2 linked regions of the Xenopus tropicalis genome follow. The protein of the gene in region 2 binds, or shares a complex with, the protein of the main gene of each other region. Links are inferred from orthologs where the notes say so. Each region holds a gene or a part of one and is shown on either strand. Other genes may lie near its edges.

Region 1 (7,946 bases), on a different chromosome or scaffold from region 2:
AAATGAATATTATTTTTATTCGACAGATCTCAAGAATGAAACAATGCACTGCTTGGTATAAAAATTACTGTATCTTGGTAAAGAAGTTCTTGAGCAAGTGCAAATAGAATAAAAAAAATCTGTATCCAGACGGAACGGTACTTACAATTCTGTAACATCTTCTAGCACCATGTCTGAAGAAATGAATCAAGGTTAAAAGTATGAGGTTCTATGTGGTTTGAGGAAAAACTATGAAGAAGCACAGATGCGGAAGAATGCTATTTTATGCCATTAAAATCTATGACAAAGATCCCCAGTAAGCCTATAAAGTACTCTGGCTAACTTAGCTGTTGATTGTACACTTTCCAGCTTTGGCCCTCAGGTCAATTTGCCCATGCACAGATGGCAAAAAGCACAAATCACAGAGGAACTGAGAGCAAGACACAGTCCCAGCCAGTGTTTAATCCCATTCTGCTGATACATAAGTATGTGCTTTTGACAATGCAAAACTTCAACTCCCAGTTGAGCCGATAGTAGAAAACTAAAGAATGTTGTACTATAACATCTAGAACAGTGTTTTTCAACCTTTTTTGGGCAAAGGCACACTTGTTTCATGAAAAAAATCACGAGGCACACCACCATTAGAAAATGTTAAAAAATTTAACTCTGTGCCCAGCAGCAGTGCCCCCCTAGTACATTGGTGCCAAGAGCAGTGCCCCCCTAGTACATTGGTGCCAAGAGCAGTGCCCCCCTAGTACATTGGTGCCAAGAGCAGTGCCCCCCTAGTACACTGGTGCCCAGCAGCAGTGCCCCCCTAGTACATTGGTGCCAAGAGCAGTGCCCCCCTAGTACATTGGTGCCAAGAGCAGTGCCCCCCTAGTACATTGGTGCCCAGCAGCAGTGCCCCCCTAGTACACTGGTGCCAAGAGCAGTGCCCCCCTAGTACACTGGTGCCCAGCAGCAGTGCCCCCCTAGTACATTGGTGCCAAGAGCAGTGCCCCCCTAGTACATTGGTGCCAAGAGCAGTGCCCCCCTAGTACATTGGTGCCAAGAGCAGTGCCCCCCTAGTACACTGGTGCCCAGCAGCAGTGCCCCCCTAGTACATTGGTGCCAAGAGCAGTGCCCCCCTAGTACATTGGTGCCAAGAGCAGTGCCCCCCTAGTACACTGGTGCCCAGCAGCAGTGCCCCCCTAGTACATTGGTGCCAAGAGCAGTGCCCCCCTAGAACATTGGTGCCAAGAGCAGTGCCCCCCTAGTACATTGGTGCCAAGAGCAGTGCCCCCCTAGTACATTGGTGCCCAGCAGCAGTGCCCCCCTAGTACACTGGTGCCAAGAGCAGTGCCCCCCTAGTACACTGGTGCCCAGCAGCAGTGCCCCCCTAGTACATTGGTGCCAAGAGCAGTGCCCCCCTAGTACATTGGTGCCCAGCAGCAGTGCCCCCCTAGTACATTGGTGCCAAGAGCAGTGCCCCCCTAGTACATTGGTGCCCAGCAGCAGTGCCCCCCTAGTACATTGGTGCCCAGCAGCAGTGCCCCCCTAGTACATTGGTGCCCAGCAGCAGTGCCCCCCTAGTACATTGGTGCCCAGCAGCAGTGCCCCCCTAGTACATTGGTGCCCAGCAGCAGTGCCCCCCTAGTACATTGGTGCCCAGCAGCAGTGCCCCCCTAGTACATTGGTGCCCAGCAGCAGTGCCCCCCTAGTACATTGGTGCCCAGCAGCAGTGCCCCCCTAGTACATTGGTGCCCAGCAGCAGTGCCCCCATAAGTCAGTGTGCCCCGTGGCCCCCCCTAATACATTGGTGCCCAGCAGCATTTTACTCTTCGGCGGCTTCAGCAGCATCTTCCCCTCACGCGCGCCGCCTCTGCACTTCTGCCTACACGCGACCGCACACAGGCCCTTTTATAACGTTGCGCCCCGTGCGTACTGACGTCACCCGTACACACGGGGCGCAACCAATGACAGGGCCCGGATTTTTTTTTTAAAGTAAAAATTGCGGCCCTGCCTACGGCACACCAGGCAACATCTCGCGGCACAAACAGTGGTTGAAAAACGCTGATCTAGAATGCTGAATGGAGTCTATTGCTGATGGTAAATCGGTATTTTATTTTGGTACATTCTAAATTAGTATAACTGAAGCAATAAACAAAAAACTAAGCGTAAGCAGACAAAGGATACTGACAAAATCATCAAAGCCAAGAAGTGTTCCAACAATTTCTTTATCACTCTTCATAACAATATGAATGCGAGATCCTATGCACTTGTCCACAAGCTCTGCAAGATCAGAAATAAAAAAAAAATTAAGAATACACTTTAAAATAAGGCAAAAATAAAGTAAAAATACATGTTAAAATACAAAAAATAATTTTACATTGTGTATATATTAATTAGGTTTGAAAGTAAAACTTGAACAATCAAAGGTTTCTAAATTGTGGTGGTAAATACTTATCGCCTGTCAAATATTTTTTGAACTTCAGACTAAAAGCACATTTTAGTATAAAAATGTATTTGAATGTACTTGGATCTTAAGCTGCATAACTGAAAGGAAAGAGGGCGACTAAACCTAAGTCTGAAAACCACTGATTTAAACCTTCAGGAATAAAAAAAAAAAAAAAGAAAAAAAGCATAGTTTTGTTTGGTAGTTTGCAGTAGAAAGATGTATTTAGCCATTTTTGCCTTAATAAAAATATGTACTTTCGGAAAATATACGGTTTTCGAGGGGCTCCGTATTGTTAGGACGTCTTATGGTACATAATACACATACCGGGTGCTTCTATTGCAGCAGCCAGTATCAGAGATGAACATTTCTATTTCATCTCGGACACTTGGGGGCTGATTTACTAACCCACGAATCCAAATGGGAAAAATTCCGATTGGAAAACGAACATTTTGCAACTTTTTCGTATTTTTTGCGATTTTTTCGTCGCCGTTACGACTTTTTCGTAAATTGTCGCAACTTTTTCGTAGCCGTTACGACTTGCGCAAATTGTCATGACTTTTTCGTAGCCGTTACGATTTGCTCGTATCTTGTCGCGACTTTTTCGTATTGAGCGCTCGTAAACTGCGGGCAAAACTTTCAGACTTAGCATGATTTTGGAAGCCTCCCATAGGACTCTGCAGCTCCAACCTGGCCCAAGAAAAGTCACGATACTGAAGCTTGAATGAATCCGAAACTTTCGTACTCGGCGCGAAGGCTACGAAAAAGTTGTGACAATTCGCGCAAGTCGTAACGCAACGAAAAAGTCACAACAATTTGCGAAACAGTCGTAACGGCTACGAAAAAGTCGCGACAATTTACGAAAAAAATCGCAAAATACAGACCATTACGAAAAAAACGCATTCGGACACTTTCGGACCGTTCGTGGATTAGTAAATCAGCCCCTTGGAGTCATTTAGAGTAGAAAGACACGGTTATCTATTTCGGATTTGGTTGAATGTGCACTTTTAAAAAATATAAATGGTATCCTGGGGTAAACCTAATGTTTCAGGATTTTTGGCTATGGAATCTAAAGTATGCCCTATTCTGCTGTAACACTTTTTTCAATAACTTACTGCTGGGAGTTTTCGATCTATAGAAGTCAGACATCTCCATAAAATTATACATACCTAGTATAGGCACATTCAAGAGATATTAGGCTTTCTGAATAAGTTGAAATTTTATCCATAAAATAAAAGATTTTTCTGGTATAAATCCCTATAATCATATTTTTTTTTTTTTCTTTTATTTGCCTTTAGAGCTCTAAATCTTGTTCCAGAAGTGGAAATACACAAAAACTCAGATTTAGAGCTCAGGTTCTCAAGAAAAGAATGATGTACAGTTTTCCTAGGTAAACTAAAAATCAACTAGAAAATAATTCTGTTCTTTTTTTATCTGCTTACAATTAAAAGGTTCAGTATAAAATATAAATTGTCTAACGCAGGGCTGCCATGCGGCTCCATCATTTGCCCGATAACCTAAAGCACGTCACCTAGCAGGTGCTGTTTAACCCAAGCAACAGTGCTAACTCCAGGTACACTACATCTGTACTTCACAACCCTAGTAAGCCACATACATATCAGAATTCTACAACAAATATGAGTTCAAAGAAAGCATGTCGCATGAAATAGGACAGCGCCATTGAAGATAAAAGCCAATTAGTAACTGCACACTAAAGGTCTCGAACTGGAATAGATCTAGTCACATATTTCCTAGAGTCCTTACCGAGCGGGAGAAGCTGCGACGGATTGGGAGTCACGGTAGCCGCCATCTTTGATATTCCTTACTTCGGATTTCCTCCTGTTTTCGTAATCTCCCGCTGTCACCTACCTAGAGCAATCGATTGCCGATCTCATTATGCAGTCGAGCGCAAGCGCTAAAAACTTCCTGGTTAGGGAAGATTAATCAACAGACGAGCAGAAAAAGGCCTTATATGGCGGAAGAGAGCGAACAGGGGACGTGGGCGTGGCTAGAAGAATGTTTCAAAGCAATGATTGCAAAAGTTGTTGTTGCGCCAGAATAATGAATGTTCAAAAAATCGGCTTGGCTTCATTGCGATTGCTAATTGGCCGGGTATTTTGTCAGATGTAGAATAACCAGCAGCTCTGGACTCTGTACAGCATATTAACCATCCACTTCAACCACTCACGTTTAGGTAAATTAATAGGAGCCCCGATCAATACAGAACAAATTACGGGGGCCCAGGTGCCAACTTAGACGAGTACATTCGAAGTATAGAACTTTTTCAGATGTTTTTGTATGTAGCAGGTGCTCAGCTTGAATCAGCTCTTAGGAGGCATGAAAGTACCTCTGGCCTGTGTTTTGTTTAACTAAAAGGGGAAAGGATTGCAGTCACTTCTGTACCTAAACATTAGCATTTATAGGGGATATACTTTATCCAGAAAATTATATATTTCTGTTTTAATTTTTTGTAGGGTAGTGTTCAATTACAAAACTCATAAATATTGTTTTATCTTAGAGGACAAGAATTTGTAAGCCACCCCTTGATACTGTACTTTAGAGGCATTATGCTGCTTGCCTGCCCTCCAAGGTGTTGAACAACTGCACAGTTTGCTTGGTTCCTGCACATTACATGAGCATAGTGTTGAGGGCCATAGATGATTGATATTAGTCACCTTTTTTTTAACTACTTGTATTTAAACTTTAAAAATTCAGCATGATTCATTCAAAGTCTCTGCTGCTACAAAAAAGTTTAGTTTTTGTAACTGTCATTAAAACTTCTACCTAATTTCAAGATTTCTGCATGTAGAGTGACAGTGTGTCATTTGCTTACTAAAACTCAATGTTTTGAAACCTAACATTCTGAAATTTCCAGAACCAGTTCCCAACTTCCTGCTAAGATCACTTAGAAACCTTCTGTTTACCTAAGCCTTCATTTAGTTTTTCTCAACTGCTGCCTTTTTTAAGCTTTGAGATAAAGAGCAAATAATTATGTCAAGGGCTTACCTGTGGATTGGTAATCACGTGGGTCAAAATATAATGACTGATACAAAAACGTGAGGTAGTAACTTTTGCCATCCAACACCACGTCTGTCGGAAGGGAATGCTGCATGCTGCTCCTGCAGCCACAAGGATAAAAACTGATGGTGTTGGAAAGACTTCTTTTTCTCTCAATGTAATACATTGACTGTCAGATGTAAGTGCATGAACAAAATAAAAATCCAACTTTATCTGATCTGACATTAAAATTACAGCCTATGCAGATTAGATTTTGTAGGGTCCTAAAAAATCTTGTGCTGTTGCATTGCATTGTGTGGCGTTGCATGACAAGATCAGATAAAATATGACCCACAAAATCTGATAAAAAGCACTGGTAGGATTTAGCTCTTAAGGTGGCCATACACGGGCCGATTGTAGCTACAGATATCAGTCCCTTGGACCGATACGGCAACTTATCAGCCCGTGTAGGGTTAACAACGACTGGCCTGCACGACCGATATCTGTCCTAGAAATTGTCCCCGAACCGACTGCACCTATTCCAGTCGTTATAATTCCCCTGATATCGCCCACCCGTAGGTGGGATATCAGGAGAAGATCCGCTCACTTGGCGACCTCACCAGGCGAGCAGATCTTTACATGTATGGCCACCTTTAGAGTTCTCTGAGGTGTGTTTGAACTAATGATGATAAAGGGTGTATACAGTCCTTTTTAAATTTGTATATACAACATTTGGTTCTGAATATCTTGAATTACTTAAGGGACACACAACAGATCTATTATGTAAAAAAAAAATTTACAAGAAAACAGGTTATATTAGTTAGAGACTTACCACCTTGTCTTGTATATTCCTGAATAATTGTCTAAGTCTTGTTTTAACTAAACACTACTTTTGGTTTGGTGACTGTAGTGGGTGTGGAAAATGCTCTAAAGTGTGCAGGTTTTTAAATAGGCTGGAACAGTGGTTGTTCCTTAAAGGAGAAGGAAAGTCATTTTGGCATTTTACTGCCAATAGATTAGCCACATTAGTGCAAGCTAGAACACTATATTTATTCTGCAGAAAACTTTACCATACCTGAGTAAACAGCCCTGGAAGCTCCCTCCCATTGTTTATGATAGAAGCTGCCATTTTAGTCTGGTCTATCAAAAGAACACAGGGTTTTGTCTCTTTTTTGTAAATGTGTTCTTAGGGTATCTGACTTTCTCTCTCAGAACAATCCTTCATTCCTGGGGCCAGAGTCTGTGCAGTTCTCTCATCTGTCCCCTCTTCTGCTCCCCCCTCCCATAAGAATGCCAAAAAGTTCCTCCTCCCTCCCTTAGGAATGTGTAATCTAAGCCAGGGGTCCCCAAACTTTTTAGTACCATGGCCCGGTAGGAGGCAAAAATATTTTTGCAGAGGGGGCGGGCCATGGCGCGAACTTCAGGCGCGTAATACATGCGATGTGCTGGGGGGGTGCGCTGCGGCCCACTGCCATGCCGTCCGCGGCCCGGCGGTTGGGGAACCCTGATCTAAGCTATAGGCTAAATTGCAAGCAGGAAGCTATAAAGACCAAGCTAAAATGGCAGCTGCAATCTTAAACAAACAGAGACAGCTTCTAGGTTTTCTGTAGAATAAATATAGCATTATAGGTGGCACTAATTGGGAAAATCTATTGGCAGTAACATGCCAAAATGACTTTCCTTCTCCTTTAACCCAGCTTATACACTGCAAATAAAAAATTATAGGATTTAATATATGTTGTAACTTTACTGGACCTTTACTGAGCAGCTTTTTCTAGCCAAAATGCTACTTTGCCCAAACGCGGTTTAACAGTACTGTTAAAAATATAATATCGTGTTGATTGGTTCCTTATAGTGCATAGCCGCACGGATCCAGCTCTTCCAGTTCCAGGCATCTTCTGGAGCTAAACCATGACCTCAATCTGCCATAGCTCTGCTTTCCAATCCTACACAACAGCCAATCAGCACACTACTTGGCGATGACGAGTCACGCTTGTTGTTCGAGTGGGTTAGGCTAGGTAGCCATGGCGGTGATGTCACGCCGGGGCTGACAGTGACATCTGACTGCAGAGAGGAGCCTGAGACACTGGGTAGGAAGCAAAAGAGAGTGGGGAAGGGAGTGAGCATCTGCCTTAGGAGAAGGAGGAGATCCTGGCAGGGAAATCAGCAACAAAGGGAGAGGCTGGACGCGGAAAAGATAAGGGAACCAGATAAGAGTGAATGCTGGGAAGAAAGCGCTAGGGGAGTTGACTTTTAAACTGAGAGGCTATCCCCAGGCGTTGCATACCCCCGCTGCGGTATTCCTTTGCTGTCTGGACCCGGATTATAGTATGTCCGCGACTTGTTCCAGGGGAGTTCTGTGCTGACAATCCTCACAGCCTCCGCAGGAACGGCAAGCAAGCGGGGGGCACAGCAGAGCGTTTCCTGACATCTCCGGCACTAACCCCACGCATGGATGCCCAGGCTGCGGAGGAGGCTGCTGGGGGCGGCAACAGGGTGCCAGGGGGACCTGTACTGCACATAGTGGTGGTGGGCT
Region 2 (7,820 bases):
GTGGCATGCACTATAAAGTTACAGCACGGTCAGTAAGAAATGGAAAAGGCTGCACAGGATAGCCTGCGCCTCTGCGTTATAACAGCCTAGCAAAGCATTTCGGATAATGAAGCAGTCCATTGTTTGTAGGACTTAAAGCTTCACGTACTGCCAAGGAATCATCTAAAAGAGAACCTTGAACTCACGTTAGAATTAATATTTAAACCTGTACAAAATGAAAAAGCTGAATAGTACGAACAGAATGAATAGAACATGGTTGCTGGTTAACAGGAAGAAACATTAAGTGCTATGTAGTTAAATGTCTAACTACCTTACTCTTCGATGTATAGTGTAAGTATATCTGTAACTGCTGGTACAAATTCAGTTCACTTTAATGTTAACTATCCTGCTGAGTAGCTAAACTAGTGTGAGATACTGGTTTAAACTAGCTTTGTTCATCCACTGCCAGCATTTAGAAAACTTTACTCTGCTTATCTTTTAATGTGTGGGCTAAATATGCAGCTGTAAGAAATGGTCAAATATCAAAATACAAAACTTGTGTGGGGTATCATTCATCCAGAAATATAATAGCACTGTTCAGTGTAAAAATGAAACTGGGCAAAATTAATATTTGTAATATAGCTAGGCAAAAATGTAATCTATAAAGGCTGGAGTGAGCAGATGTTTAACATAAAAGCCAGAACACTACTTTCTCCTTTACAGCTGTTTGCAGTCAGTAACCAATCAGTGCCTTGAGGGAGGGCCATGTGGGGCATAACTGTTCAGTTAGTTTGCATTTGAATCTGACCCGTCTGCTCACAAACAAACTGAACATTTATGTCCCATATGCCCCCCCTAAAGTCACTGACTAACTAAGAGGTTAGAGAGCTGAAAGCAGGAAGTAGAGTTCTGGCTATTATGTTAAGACATCTGCTCACTCCAGTCTTTATAGATTACATTTTTGTCTAGCTATATTACAAATATTTTTTCATTTTTACAGTCTATTTCACCCAGTTTCATTTTTACACTGAACTGTTCCTTTAAAGCCAAACTATATCAGTCCCCAGTGGTGAGACTGTAAAGGCTGTGGGTAACAGGACTGATGTTAATATAAACTTTGCGAAAGGCATCTGAGGTGCAATCATATTGCTATTTGTCATCTTTAATACCTGTTCAATGTCAGATCATTTTAACAAAACCGGTTTATTAACTCATTATACACTGGTATAACTGGGATATGAATATGTACCCAGGTACTTTGTCTGCCTGCTACCTCTATACATTTGACTGATTACTAAGACTACTATTATATGCCTGCAGTTCCCCATATTTTGCAGGTTTTAATGGAAAATTGTCTTTTTAAATTTTGTATCCAATATTGATGTACTTGGGATTATAAAACGCTGAGACGCGCTCTTTTTATGGGGGTTCACCCTGCTGTGTGTGTGCTGCCACAGCAGTAGTTCTGTCCACATTTTAGATACAGCAATTCTCAAGTGTTGCCAATCTCTTCATATGTAACAATTTCTTATACATTTTGGGCTTTATGTATCCTTGCACTTCCCCCTCCCTCTCTCCTCTGGCCACTTCTAGTACTGTGTCCTTGCTGTTGTTTATTATTTACTTTGATATTGGCTCTGCCACCTGATTACATCACTTCCTGGTCCCAAGAGGAAGCAGCTGTTTCTGTTGTAACAGTCATTTTGCCAGGGCTGGTGAAATCAGTACCCACACTCATCTCTAAGCAAGCCTATCCAAGCATCGTTGGTATGTTTGCATTCTGTTTAATGCCTGCTTATTATAAGCTGTGTATTTTGCTGTTATGTGCATTCTGGTTATAGTTGTGATTCACTATTTCTCCCTTAGCAGCCAACTGTTAGGCCCCACTAGGACTGTATAATGCATATAAGATGTTTATATTTGCTCCTGTTGTATATATCTGTATTTTACATACCCAGAATGTATTCTGATACCATTGTACTGTTTGTACCTACAGTTCTACCTTCTTTTGATCATCATCATTAAACAAGTTCAAAACTTATACAGTGTGGTGATTGAAGGGCGAGTAAACTGCCTGTTGATTCACTTCTCACAGTGATGGGAGCAGGACAGTGTGACTTTTTGGTATAGAGTAAATATATTCTCTCATATTTCTCTATGCCTTTTGTTTTTCCCTTCCTATTCTCCTTGGACAAACAATTCCTTCCAATAACAAAATAAACTAATTTAACAATTAGTAACTTAAACCAAGGGAACGGAGGGCTTTTAATGATGATCATGGAATTTTACAGACATCACCCTGTTAACCCTGCCCCTACACAAATAAAACTTACCTTGGGCCTTGAGAATAGCTGCTTTTCCTCTGCCGGCACCAGAACCCTGGTTTTTATTCTTCATACTCTTTAACATGGGAGCATTTTTCAACATGTCTGGGAGGATGAGAAAACGAATTTTGCTGCCTCTGATGTAGACCTGTTCTAGTTGTGCCACTCTGCCATCCCTGTACGTTACAGTGATGTTTGACATCTGAAAGTCAAAGTACAATTTAAGCATCCATGGAGGGAAGAAAAAAGGACACAGGCTTAACATACAGCACTATGTGAGGAATTCTATTACAATGTTTTATATTTATAAAGCTTTAACGGGATCGTGTTTGACTTCACACTCATGTCTCCCCCTTGTTTAGCTCAAAGAATAGCCAAAACCATGTTCTTTTCCTGGGAGACAGCACCAAGAACATTCATACACAGTAGAAGAATGTTTAGAAGACCAGTCTTTGCAGTTTTAAATTTCCTTTAATGTATATCCAAGTTGCGTAGAATTAAATTTTTTCATTACAAAAACAGTTTTTGGCTGGAGGACCCTTTTAATTAAAATAGCCAAAAACAACCTATTTATTGTACAAGGTAATATACAGCTGCGTTAAAATGCTTTAGAAACACTGCTATAGTCTATACCAGTAATGCCCAACCAGTGGCTCCCAGTGGACTTTAAGCAGGTGCTTATTTTTTGTAATTTCTGGTAAGGAGGCAAGTTTCTGTTGCATAAAAACCAGCTGTATTGCCAGCACAATCCTGTAGGCTTCCAGTCCCCATAAGGGCTACCAAATAGCCAATAACAGCCCTTATTTGGCAACCCAAAAGAATTTTTTATGCTTCATTTGCTCCCAAACTCTTTTTACATTTAAATGTGGCTCACAGGTACAAAAGGTTGGGAAACCCTGGTCTATAGAAATAAAGCTGCATGGGGGCAGCTATTCAAACAAAGAGGGCTGAATGGCACAGGTGACAAAAAGATAAGCTCTGTAAAATACAATACAGCTTATGTAACCAGCACCTTTAGGGCTCTGGCACACGGGGGAGATTAGTCGCCCGCGATTAACTCCCTGTTCGCGGGCGACTAATCTCCCCGAGTTGCCTACCCCTGCCATCCCACCGGCGAACATGTAAGTCGCCGGCGGGATGGCAGACGTGGCGGCGCGATTTCGCGCAAATCGCCGAAAAAGACTCGCAAGTCTTTTTCGGTGATTTCCGGAAATCGCCCCGCCGCGTCTGCCATCCCGCCGGCGACTTACATGTTCGCCGGTGGGATGGCAGGGGTAGGCAACTCGGGGAGATTAGTCGCCCGCGAACAGGGAGTTAATCGCGGGCGACTAATCTCCCCCGTGTGCCAGAGCCCTTACTCAGTTTATCCCAGCTTGGATGGCTGCCCCCACTGATACACAGCAGCTTATTTATATGAACTATAGTAGTATCAGTGGGGGCAGCCATCCAAGCTGCTGTGTGTTACTGAAGCAAACACCAGTTCTACCAGTGCAGGGTAACACTACATCGTATTTTGATTACTTTGAAACACTTACATAGTTTAAAAGAATAGGAACACCAAAATATGTTACCGTTTGGCTTCTGTGGGTAGATAAAGGAGACTTTTCTCCATGTTAAAAGAGAAGTTTATACATGAACAACAGAAGAGTGCTTAGTAAAAAGAGCAAAAGGAAATTGTCACCCTAAATATTTTTTAAATTACACAACAGGAATGCAATACGGGTGTAGCCACACCCCACTAACTAGGCTCCTGTAACTAACAGTTTAAAAGTGCATAGCAACAACAGCATTTACATATTTTACTTCTGCTCCTTATCACTGAGCTTTACTGTGAATATACTGACATCTAGAGACACAGCTAGGAAATTGAAATAGATTAGGATTAAAGGAGACATTGTATAAAAATTAAGAATGTACCAGTAAATTATACTCCTCTAGATATAGAAGGACTGTGGTTTAAAAAAAATTGTTTTTTGGACTGTTTTATTGAGAAATTCCACCAAAACCCTAATAGTCCCGCCCATCTGTTCCACTTCCTGCTGGCTGGATAGGAACCAATCAGCAGCTAGGATGACCTGATAGGGAACTGAAGCCTGTCTCTGCTTGTGTGAGTGCTGGGCTGTGATTGCCTTCCCCCCTCCTACTGTGCTTCTGGCAGGGACCGTTAGGACACGCCCACCCTTCATTTTAAACAGGGACAGAGAACTGATAGGATCTACAGGGAGCTCCAATAAAGAGGCCATATTTACAGATGAGTATTTTTTAGCCCAAATGAAACCCGCAGCATATATTGTTCATAATTGTCTACAAAATTAGGTTTTTTTTTCCCCTATTTTTCCATGTCTCCTTTAAGCTATTTACGCTTCTGACCACAATATAACTGCTTCTTTTGCAATGGATAGGGTAACCGAGGCACTATATAGGGAATAAATAGGTGCCTTTTGGAAAATACTTTGCCCCTAACAATTCACACACACATTTTTAGTTTAACACAGCCTTTACAATTGTTGGTCCATAAGGTCTATCACTAGAGTTTATACTGCAATCACCAACGTACTTACAAACATGGCATAAGGTAAATATTTATAAGTTTAGGTGCACTTGCTATAGATATAATACGAATGACTTGCTTATTTTACTTACTTGGCAGTTCATGTTATCCTCTGCTTCAATCAATTTCCCCCTGTATACCTCTCCGGTGTTAGTTTCACATGTCACAATGTGGCCTTCTGCCTCATGAAGGACTTTAATTGGTACACCGATAGACATATTGAGAGCTAATGGAGATTAACCTGCAATTGGAGAAATAAAAATTAGCAAAAAAACGTGGAGAACATACAAAGCGCAACGCAGGTTACTGCATACAATGCAGCCATGTGCAAACTATAAGGTATATTCAAATAAAAATCCTTATTACATAATGTTTATCCAGCCTAAAGCTTTAATCACTTACAGTCTATAAATTCAGCCATACATATGCACACAAACATGCCCAGCCCTTCAGAAACACATGCACGTTAGGACATCGCAGCAGCACAACCCGCAGAAGCAGAGGAGTAACCCTCAATGAATGAGTTCCCTGGGATACTGGCACTGAGGCCTACACAAACGTTTCAGTGCCCCCGGCCTAAGGCAGGAATATTTATAGAAACGGATAACGGACTGGTAACACAGTGAGATGCGTTGGGCCCGGCACCCTGTATATAACCTCACCATAAGGCAATATTTAGAGGGAAGCCCTGCTCACACTCATACAAAGCTGCCAACCGCACAGACCTAAGGGAAAGCGAACAAGCGCCGAGTAACCGAGACGCACACCCCGCCCAGATATCCGCACGCTGCAACCCCCGGGCCTCTCTGACAATCCTGCAAAGCGCAGACTTTTTACCGAACTTTTGTTTGCTTTGGGTAATACTTACTAGCGTGGCTCTGTTCTGCGTTCTAATGGCGTCCCGCCTGCCCCACAATGCACAGCGAAAGGAAACAGGCTGTCGTATCTCTCTGCCCCCTTTTCCCGGCGACTGCACAAGCAAACAACTTCCGGTGGGAAACAGATATGAGTGACTTAGTTCCGCTCATCAACCCATTTATCTATTCACACCATTTAAGAGCGGCTAGTTGCACTGCAACTTTTCATATTATATATTATGAATTATTATTAAATATCTTGAGCTGAAACCTCCAATTAGACTCAGACGTGCAATCTGTGGATTGTGATAAATGCCAGAAGGGCTGCTGTAAGATGTCACAGACACTATTTATTGGGGTGATAGGGGGCTATTTGGGTATCCGCGTATAATTAAATGCCAAGGCCCCATTTCCAGTCCGCACCTGATCAGACTGTTTCTTTTAGTCTGCGCTTTTAATAGGTGCTGATTCTGACTTTATTAACTGAATTGGCAGACCGCTGGCATATGTATGGGCCCAGAATGATCAGGCTTATTTTGTTTATATATCTGCTGAATGCATTGTTTCTGAACTGCCAGAAAGCACATGCAACATTAAGTAAAATGGACAAAATGGCATCTGTGCACAAAAATGTACCCCTGCTCACTGCTGTAAAATGTAGATTCACCCCCCATTCTACCATGAATGTATGTATGTGCACATACAGGACTGGAATTAACCTGTCACTGCAGCCTGAAACTGCTGTTTGTGCCATTAGCCTAAAATTGCAGGCTGCGCTAGTAAAACCATCACATAATCTTGAGGTAAGGGTAATGGCATACACGGTTTAGTTGCCCATTGGCTTTCCCACAAAAGGACAACAACATTACCCATAGCAGCTATATATAGATAGTGCCATAGGCCACAGTGGAAACACATTGAAGAAAAACAAGATGGCTTATTCTGGTATTGGCACAATAATCCGCATTAGTCCTGTTCTTCTAGCAGCCAGAAATTGGGCATCTGGGTGAGAAGGTCACCAGCGGATCTATAACCAATATGGCCACCTAGTTGTGGCTGACATCAGGCAGATCTGTGAGGGCCAAATGATCATTGTAATAGGCGCCTGTGTAGGCCATCAGGAGAGGACCATATCAAATATCTGATGTAGTCCTCCTCCAGATGAGATTTTTAAACCTGCCCAACATCTGCCTGATATTTCACCAGATTGCTATTGGATAGGCTGTAGGACAAGACCCATAAGGTGGCCATGCATGGTAAGATCGCTCATTTGACCAGATCAAAAAGCGAACAGATATTCTCCCGATATGCCCACCTATGGGCGGGTGATATTAGGAAAATTAGATTGTTTGGCCCTAGAGCCAAAACAATCTAATTTAAAGGCAGGCATAGGCGCCATTGGTTTGAGGACTGCATGAAGGAGCCTATGCCATCCCTGACCCAACGATAAAATCAAACCTGACTAAAGGTCCCCATACACTATACGGGTGGGCGATATCGGGTAGCAATTTGCGTTAAAAAAAAATAATCCGATCATTTGGCCCTGGGGTTCGGGGACCGCATCAACGAGCCGATGCGGTCCCCGATCCGACTGGATTTTCTAACCTGGCCGATCGATATTTGGCCAATTTCAGGCCAGATATTGGTCGGCCAGGCCGCTCGTTTCTGCCCATACACGGGCTGATTAGCTGCCGAATTGGTCCAGGGGACCGATATCGGCAGCTTCTATCGGCCCGTGTATGGGGACCTTAATGGTTGATTTCAGGCCATATGTCGGTCGGGGAGGCCCATCGGAGGTGCCTATACATGGGCAGATAAGCTTCCAAAGGGTCTAAAGGCAGCTGAAATCAGTCTGTATATTGCCACCTATATTCAGGCAGCTAATCTGCAGGCTCAGACTGAACCCGCAGCTAAAGTCTGCCCCTATTTATGTTTCATTTTATAATTGCTTTATCACTGTTCCCATCCTGATTTAAAGGCATTATCATTTTCACTTTCTCACATACTGTACAGCCTTCCCTGCACTAAGCTTAGTCCCACCATAACAAGAGCACTGCAGGTAGAAGAGGCCAAATGCTAATACTGCCCCACCCTGGGAGGCTCCGTGCA

What was found.
Region 1: snrpd3 (region 2) and lsm5 share a complex: the UniProt entries of both Homo sapiens proteins name them as parts of the U4/U6-U5 tri-snRNP complex. The link is inferred for Xenopus tropicalis from reciprocal best matches to the Homo sapiens genes SNRPD3 and LSM5.

Annotation. Positions count from the first base shown.
Region 1 is NC_030682.2:61,891,985-61,899,930, forward strand, and holds the start of lsm5 (U6 snRNA-associated Sm-like protein LSm5), read right to left. Parts: upstream 4,341-7,946; 5' UTR 4,224-4,340; coding exon 4,178-4,223; intron 2,251-4,177; coding exon 2,155-2,250; intron 174-2,154; coding exon 146-173; intron 1-145. Other genes in the region: late secretory pathway protein AVL9 homolog, read left to right, coding at 7,862-7,946. UniProt on the Homo sapiens protein: Plays a role in pre-mRNA splicing as component of the U4/U6-U5 tri-snRNP complex that is involved in spliceosome assembly, and as component of the precatalytic spliceosome (spliceosome B complex).
Region 2 is NC_030677.2:152,603,929-152,611,748, reverse strand, and holds the start of snrpd3 (small nuclear ribonucleoprotein Sm D3), read right to left. Parts: upstream 5,096-7,820; 5' UTR 5,073-5,095; coding exon 4,947-5,072; intron 2,506-4,946; coding exon 2,313-2,505; intron 1-2,312. UniProt on the Homo sapiens protein: Plays a role in pre-mRNA splicing as a core component of the spliceosomal U1, U2, U4 and U5 small nuclear ribonucleoproteins (snRNPs), the building blocks of the spliceosome.